2 linked regions of the Macaca mulatta genome follow. The protein of the gene in region 1 purifies or fractionates together with the protein of each later gene. This does not show direct contact. Links are inferred from orthologs where the notes say so. Each region holds a gene or a part of one and is shown in the gene's direction. Other genes may lie near its edges.

What was found. The genes of interacting proteins can lie anywhere in the genome.
Region 2: the proteins of AP3M1 (region 1) and AP3S2 purify together in Homo sapiens (co-immunoprecipitation; 3 studies listed by BioGRID and IntAct, counting the BioPlex papers as one, with this or other methods). This does not show direct contact. The link is inferred for Macaca mulatta from reciprocal best matches to the Homo sapiens genes AP3M1 and AP3S2.

Annotation. Positions count from the first base shown.
Region 1 is NC_133414.1:75,486,850-75,490,498, forward strand, and holds part of AP3M1 (AP-3 complex subunit mu-1), read left to right. Parts: intron 1-247; coding exon 248-523; intron 524-1,819; coding exon 1,820-1,991; intron 1,992-3,649. UniProt on the Homo sapiens protein: Part of the AP-3 complex, an adaptor-related complex which is not clathrin-associated. The complex is associated with the Golgi region as well as more peripheral structures.
Region 2 is NC_133412.1:79,707,202-79,711,414, reverse strand, and holds the start of AP3S2 (AP-3 complex subunit sigma-2), read left to right. Parts: upstream 1-1,355; 5' UTR 1,356-1,402; coding exon 1,403-1,471; exon of another isoform or gene 1,472-2,398; intron 2,399-4,213. UniProt on the Homo sapiens protein: Part of the AP-3 complex, an adaptor-related complex which is not clathrin-associated. The complex is associated with the Golgi region as well as more peripheral structures.

The DNA of each region.
Region 1 (3,649 bases):
GAGGTTTCTTTTTGTTCTTAAGTGGCTTGGGTTTTTTTTTTTTTTTTTTTTGTAAAATGATGTTGGATTTTGTCAAATGCAATTTCTGCACCTTTTGAAATGATTGTTTTAGTTCTAGTTGTATATCATATTGATTGATTTTTGCATTCTTGGAATAAGTCCCACTTGGTCAAAGTGTATAATCTTTTTGTATATGTTAAATGATATTTAATGTATAATAAATTTAAACCTATCTTTGCCCCAACAGAAAATGATCCACAGTCTATTTCTCATAAACTGTTCCGGTGACATATTTCTAGAGAAGCACTGGAAGAGCGTTGTGAGCCAGTCTGTCTGTGATTATTTCTTTGAAGCTCAAGAGAAAGCTGCTGATGTTGAAAATGTACCACCTGTCATTTCAACACCTCACCACTACCTCATCAGTATCTACCGGGATAAGCTCTTCTTTGTATCTGTCATACAGACTGAAGTGCCACCTCTCTTTGTAATTGAGTTCCTACATCGAGTTGCTGACACTTTTCAGGTTGGTTATCTATCATACCTTTCTAACTTAAATGACCCAAGTTAGCTGGAGGTGAGACATGATTATATTATTTAATTACCCAGGTTTTGATGTTTACTGTCTGTTTCTCTCTGTTTAAGCATAAATTCATAAATCCTTTTCTATGTGGTGTACAGTTGCACACATGGCTGCTGTATTTACTATTTTTTATATGTATTACAAATTACAGTTGGCTCTCCATATACATGGGTTCTGCATCCATGAATTCACCGAACCTTACATGGCAAATATTTGAACAAAAAAATTGAACTGAACATGTACAAACTTCTTCTCCTCATTATTACTTAAACAATGCAGTATAACAAATAGTTACATAGCATTTACATTGTGTTAGATATTACAAGTAATCTAGAGGTGATTTAAAGTATATAGGGCGATGTGTATAAGTGATGTGCAAATACTATGCCATTTTATGTCAGGGACTTGAGAATTGTGAGTTTTGGTATCCACAGGGGATCCTGGAACTAATTCCCCACAACTACCAAGGGATGACTGCATATCATCAGGAAACAATAATGCCCTCCACATACAGTTCTCTCAATGGTCTCAAGATTTTCATTGGTTATGAACTCTTCTGTATTTACGTTTTATTTTTTTCTCTTGTCTTGCTGAATATACCAAACAATTTAAGCTTATCTATGTGTATGTTGGAATAGTTAATCAGGGTGAATGAAGTTTATAGCTCAAATTCCAATTTAATGTCTCAATACTTTCTAGTATAATGTGTAATAGGAATTAAATTCAGGCTAGAAATATCAAGAAAATACTGAGGAATAATGTTAGGACTATAGAGGGGTTTTTTTGTTTGCTTGTTTTTTTTTGTTTGAGACAGAGTCTCACTCTGTCGCCTAGGCTGGAGTGCAGTGGCGTGCTCTTGGCTCACCGCAACCTCCGCCTCCCGGGTTCAAGCAATCCTCCCTCCTCAGCCTCCCAAGTAGCTGGGACCACAGGTGTGCACCATCACACTCAGCTAATTTTTGTATTTTTAGTAGAGACAGGGTTTCACCATGTTGGCCAGGCTGGTCTTGAACTCCTGACCTCAAGTGATCCACCCGCCTCAGCCTCCCAAATTGCTGGGATTGCAGGCATAAGCCACCGTGCCCGGCCTATGGAGGGTTTTTTCCCTGGCTCTGTTTTACATATGTTCAGCATCTTAAGCAATGAATAATGCTATTGTAAGTTTGTTCTTCAGAACAAAAAGTATTTAGCAAGCCTTTCTTTGTGCCTTCCATTGTGTGATATTGTGTATTTTGTCAGGACTACTTTGGTGAGTGTTCAGAGGCTGCGATTAAGGATAATGTGGTCATAGTATATGAACTCTTAGAAGAAATGTTAGACAATGGATTTCCACTGGCTACCGAATCTAACATTTTGAAAGAATTAATTAAACCGCCAACAATTCTACGGTCTGTTGTCAACTCTATTACAGGTAAGATGAAAACATACTTTACTGGTAACTGAGCAATTAAAACTTTGTAAACAACTCATTATTGTTCATGATCTGATGTATTATTAAGGTAGTACAATTCAGCCATAATTAAAGTTACTGGTAAAGTTAAAATGGATGTATTGTATATTTATTTTCATAGAAAAAGGCTAGACCTTAAGTGATAAAGAACTTTTGGTTATTACTCTTTTTTTTTTTCTAAAATACCACAACAATATTATTACCATTATTTAACACTAAATACTAAGACTGAATAAATTGTTCCAGTTAGTCCTAAAGAAGCCAGTATATGAGCCCACTTAGAAGAGAATTTAGTCCATTTACAGACTGGCATTTTAATGTTTAAAATAACATAACTGGTATGCTGCTACTCCACAATTACTAGAGAATAGAAAATTTAAGACTCTTAACCACACAGTACTACAATATCCTCCGAGTCTTTGTTTTTATGCATGCAGAAGATGTATTAAGAAAAAATAGAAAAATAGTTTACTCATGAGATCGCATGCATTGTGGGCCTGTACTTATATTGTAAGCTTCCAGTTGGGTTTAATTCTTGAGTGTAGCTAGAAATTAGGCACACCCAGATGCCAATGTTCTTTCGAAAGCTTTAAAGTCTTTTAGAGAAAGATTCCTATGAAATGTTATATGCCACTCCAACTCCACTGTCCACCACTGTAAACCCCTCTCCAGTGCCTTGACCTAAAAATGAGGTGAGAGAGGCCTGTAAGAAAAAGATCATTCAGCAGCTCTTTATTCATCCTCTGTGTAAGGGTGAATGTTGAGAGAAATTCAAAGAAAGATAAGATGGCATGTCTGTGCTCCTAAAACTTATACTCTGAATGGGACGTTGGAAAAAAAATTAAAATAAGTAAATAACTGTATAAGACTTTAAAAAGCAATTCCATACTTCACAGATAATGTAATAGCATTGGAAAATACACATGATATAATGTTAAATTGAAAAGTCAGCACAAAACTGAAAAAATTATTCTTATATATAAATATTCACTCAGACCAAAAAGTTCTAAATATTTACAATGATTATACCCAGCTAAAGAAATACAGATTATCTTTATTTTTGTTTTATACTTTTTAATTTTCCAAAATAAACATGTATTTTATAGTCAGAGAAAAGTTACTAAAATATAGAATGCAAAACATAACAGATTCATAAGGCAGTATATTACAAAGTTCAAGAGAATGGTTCCATTAATGAAGTATTCCCTCCTGAACTGTGGTGGGCGGCCACCTTGGAGAATCAGTAGAATTCAGGAAGTGAGGGAGGAGTAAGAGCATTCTCCATAGGTGGAACTGTATGAGAAAAAAACACACATGAAAGAGAAAAACCTAAAGTTTTATTAATGCAGAAGCAGAACTGTTTTTCAGTTGAGAAGTTAGAGATCAGATTAAAAAGTAGAGAAAGTCCTTCAAAGCTAGGCTAAATATTTAGCTTTTATCATAAAGTCAGTGATCAACCATTGAAGGTTTTTGAGCAGGAAGATAACATGATTGTAGGTTGCAGGTAGGAACACCAATCATAAGTAGACTGCAAAATTATAGATACAGTATGATTGCGACTGTATTTTAAAGTGCAATTAAAAACCAAAAATTATTACAATAGAAAAAAATGCAACCTT
Region 2 (4,213 bases), on another chromosome or scaffold:
CAGCATGATTTTTATTAGCTATTTAATATTTCTCATATTCATGTAGAACAATGCACTTAACCAATTTCTCATTTTTGTAATAATTTTTTTCCCGTTTTCCCCTGTAATAACACTGCTGCGATATATATTTTTTTCTTCTTTTTTTTTTTTTTTTTTTTTACTGTTCTAAAGATACTCTGGCAGAAATGTATGTTCCTGAGGCTAAATCTTTTCACACATCCACAATCATTTTATTATAAATTCCAGAGCTGGAAACGCTGAGTCTAATGTTAAATAAATACATATATATATATAGAGAGAGAGAGAGAGAGAGAGTTTTGTTTTTGGAGACAGAGTCTCGCTCTGTCGCCCAGGCTGGAGTGCAGTGATGCAATCTCGGCTCACTGCAACCTCCGCCTTCCAGGTTCAAGCCATTCTCCTGCCTCAGTCCCGGGACTATGTATCTGGGTATCTGAGTCCCAAATATCTGGGACTACAGTCGCGCGCCACCACACCCGGCTAATTTTTGTAATTTAGTAGAGGCGGGGTTTCACCATGTTGGCCAGGCTGGTCTCGAACTGCTGACCTCAAGTGAGCCACCCGCCTCAGCCTCCCAAAATGCTGGGATTACAGGCGTGAGCCCCCGGGCCTGGACTGTTACATATTTTAAAGGCTTCTGATCCATATTGCCAAAAAGTCCTCTGGATCGATTTGCAGCTGTATCCGCTGCTCCATCTGCAGTATACGAACGTGCTCCACCTTACCCACACTGGGTCATTAAAAGAACAAACAAAAATAAGAACTTGATTGATTTGGGATTTTAAAGGAAATGCACTAAAAATTCTTTAATTCCACCATTCACCGTCTACCATGGAGGAACAGCCCATATGCACGGAGAGACAGCTACGTAATTCACTGCAGCATTGTAATACTGAAAAATAAAAATGAACGAAACGTTCCTTAACCGAGGAACGGCCGAACGACCGGCGTCTCCACTCCGCGGAACGTTCTGCGAGCGCTAAGGGGAAGGCGGGAGTACAGGTTTTGGAGCGGACGGTGAGAAAGGCAAGCTCGCGCCGCCTCTCTGTGTTGGCAACCCGGCTGGTGGTCAAGTTTCGGCTTCTGGGGCCAGCTGTCGGTCTTGGCGAGGGACATAGATCCGGATTCGCATCCTGACCGGCCAACCGACGCTGGTCGAGGTGACCACGCTTCTGGGCAACCGCACCTGCAGTCCGCAGGGGACCCCGCCGCCTTCTCCAGGGCGTCAAAGAGGCCGGACCCTTGGGTGCTAGGGCTCCTGGGTGCCGGGGCCAAGTTTCCGAGTGCCGCTCTCAGCAGCGCACCAACCGGAAGTGGCCGTGTTGTGGCGGAAGGAGGCGATTTCTGGGAGTAGCCGGTGCTGAGAGAACCGTGGCCGGCAAAGATGATTCAGGCGATTCTGGTTTTCAACAACCATGGAAAGCCGCGGCTAGTCCGCTTCTACCAGCGTTTCGTGAGTGCGGCCCGGCTTCACCACGCCCGTTGAGGGTGCCCACTATCTCTTCTTTCCTCTTTGGCCTCTGGGCGCCCGGGGGCACCGCTCCTTGGTCACCTGGGGCTCCTGCACCGTGCATGACCCTCACCCTTCTTAAGCACTTAACCTGGGCGCAGGCCGGTGCCAGGCATTCTGTCTCCCGCCCTACTGCCCTCGCTCTTTCTGACCCTTTTCTGGATCCTGCATTTCTGTGCCATTTTGTGACATTTTCCCTTGGGTCTCTGGGAACGAGATAGAAGCGACAGTGGGGAGTGTGCCTCGTTGAGAACTTGAATGATTGAAGTCACGTTCTGTCATCTTTTTGGTTGTTGACCACAGTTTCATGAGGAAGAAATATTAAGTTTCTGAAAGTTTTTGTTATAGCCAAAGGGTCTGGAAAAGTTCTTTATTTGGAATTATTTTGCTTCAGTGTTGGCTGGGACTTTCCAGAGACTAGATACCCTTCACTCTGTAGGGTTGAAGAAAATTTTAGTTTAAAAGTGGAAACATGATGAGAAATTATAAATGCTGCTGCATAAGGGCTCAATAAGTGATTACGTAAATTTGAATTTTCCCAACACGTTCCTTTGCAAACACATAAACATCAGTATTTGCTTCCTATCTTCCAATATTTTATTTCTTCATGGCGGGGTTTCAAAATGTTACATAATTGGGGTACTGGCCAAACTGAAGAGGGGAGTCAGAAAACGTATTCCGGCTTCAGCTCCACCTTTTCTACTCTTGCGTCTATTGACAAGTTAATAAACCCTTTTCAGACTTAAATTATTCTGTCTTTTGTCAATTAGAAATGAAAAACTAATTTTACTCCTTCATAAGATTTTTAAAGCTAGATTACATTTAATTAAGTAGATTACATCGAGGTAAAAATATGAGTATTCAACATAACTATTTGTATTTGCATTTGTGTGTATACAGATTCCCCCCTAGTTTTTTTCTAGGTAAAACTAGATAAAACTAGAGATAAAACTAACATGCCATACTATTTACTTATTTATTTTACGTTATTTACTTACACAGATGAAGTCTTTCTATGTTGCCCAGGCTGGTCTTGAACTCCTGGGCTCAAGCAATCCACCAGACTCAGCCTCCCAAAGTGCTGGGATTACAGGCATGAGCCACTGTGTCCGGCCCCAGTTTACCTATTTAAAGGGGACAGTTCAGTGTTTTTTAGCACGTTCACAGAAGCTGCACAACCATCACCACAATCAATTTTAGATCATTTTCATCACCCCAAAAAGAAACCTCTGCCCATTAGCACTCATTGCCTATTTCTCCATGACTGTCCCAGCCCTAGAGAGTCTTTCCCTCTAAATTCGCCTGTTCTAGAATGGCAAATGGAATTTGACTATTCCAGAGTGGCAGATGGAATTTGCCTACTCCAGAGTGGCAGATGGAATTTGCCTATTCTGTTGCATATAAATGAAATCATAAATAAGTGGGTTTTTTTGTGTCTGCCATGTTTCATGTAATATAATGTTTTCAAGATTCATCCATGTTGTAGCATGTATCTGATCTTCATTTCTTTTATTGCTGAATAATATTGCATTATATGGGTATGCCATATTTTGATTGTCTGTTTATAAGCTGATGTTTCTACTTTTTGGCTCTTCTAACTAATGCTGCTATGAACATTCTTGTGCAAGTTTTTATGTGGACTTATGACTTCATTTCTCTTGGTTATATACCTAGGAGTAGAATTGCTGGATCATATGGTAACTATGGTGAACATTGTGAGAAACTGCAAACTATTTGACAAACTTTCCAAGTGGCTGCACCATTTTACATTTCCATCAGCAATGTATAAGGATTCCAGTTTCTTCACATCCCTGCCATTCGTTATTTATTTATTTTTTGATTAAAGACATTTTAGTGGGTATAAAGTGGTATCTCATTGTGGCTTTTTTTTTCCCCCCGAGACTGAGTCTTGCTCTGTCTCCCAGGCTGCAGTGGCGTGATCTTGGCTCACTGCAACCTCTGCCTCCCGGGTTCAAGTGATTCTCCTGCCTCAGCCTCCTAAGTTGCTGGGATTACAGGTGCCCGCCACCATGCCTGGCTAATTTTTGTATTTTTAGTAGAGATGGGGTTTTGCTATATTGGCCAGGCTGGTCTTGAACTGCTGACCTCAAGTAATCTGCCCGTCTTGGCCTCCCAAAGTGCTGGGATTACAGGTGTGAGCCACTTCACCTGGCCCATTGTGGTTTTGATTTTAATTTCCAAAATGACTAATGATGTTGAGCATCTTTTCATGTGCTTATTGACCATTCATGTATCTTTGGAGATCATAGGATTTTTATAAGACCTCATGAGCTCATAGATGAAAGTACCTTGAAAACTACAGAGTACTAAAATGATATGAGGGGTTATTAAAATCACTGAGGCATGTAAGCAATTGGTAGTTTACCTTTTTACTGAACTAGAAATTAGGTAGCCTCATCATTTCATACCATTTCCCACTGCTGCCACTTCCCCCAGAGTCAGATAAAAGGCTTTAGTTCAAAAGATGTGTTTTCAGTTTTAAAAAGTGCTGATGTTTAGCATGTTTCGTATTTTGCAGTATATAGACTTAGTTCCTTACAGCATCCTGTCATCTGTGAGCTTTGTTCTTTAAATGGAAATGAGGAAAATAGTGATTGATTTACTCAAATTTGTAGTGACCAATGATTAGCAAGTTTTCATTCATTCAGTAAATACTGTGAGCCA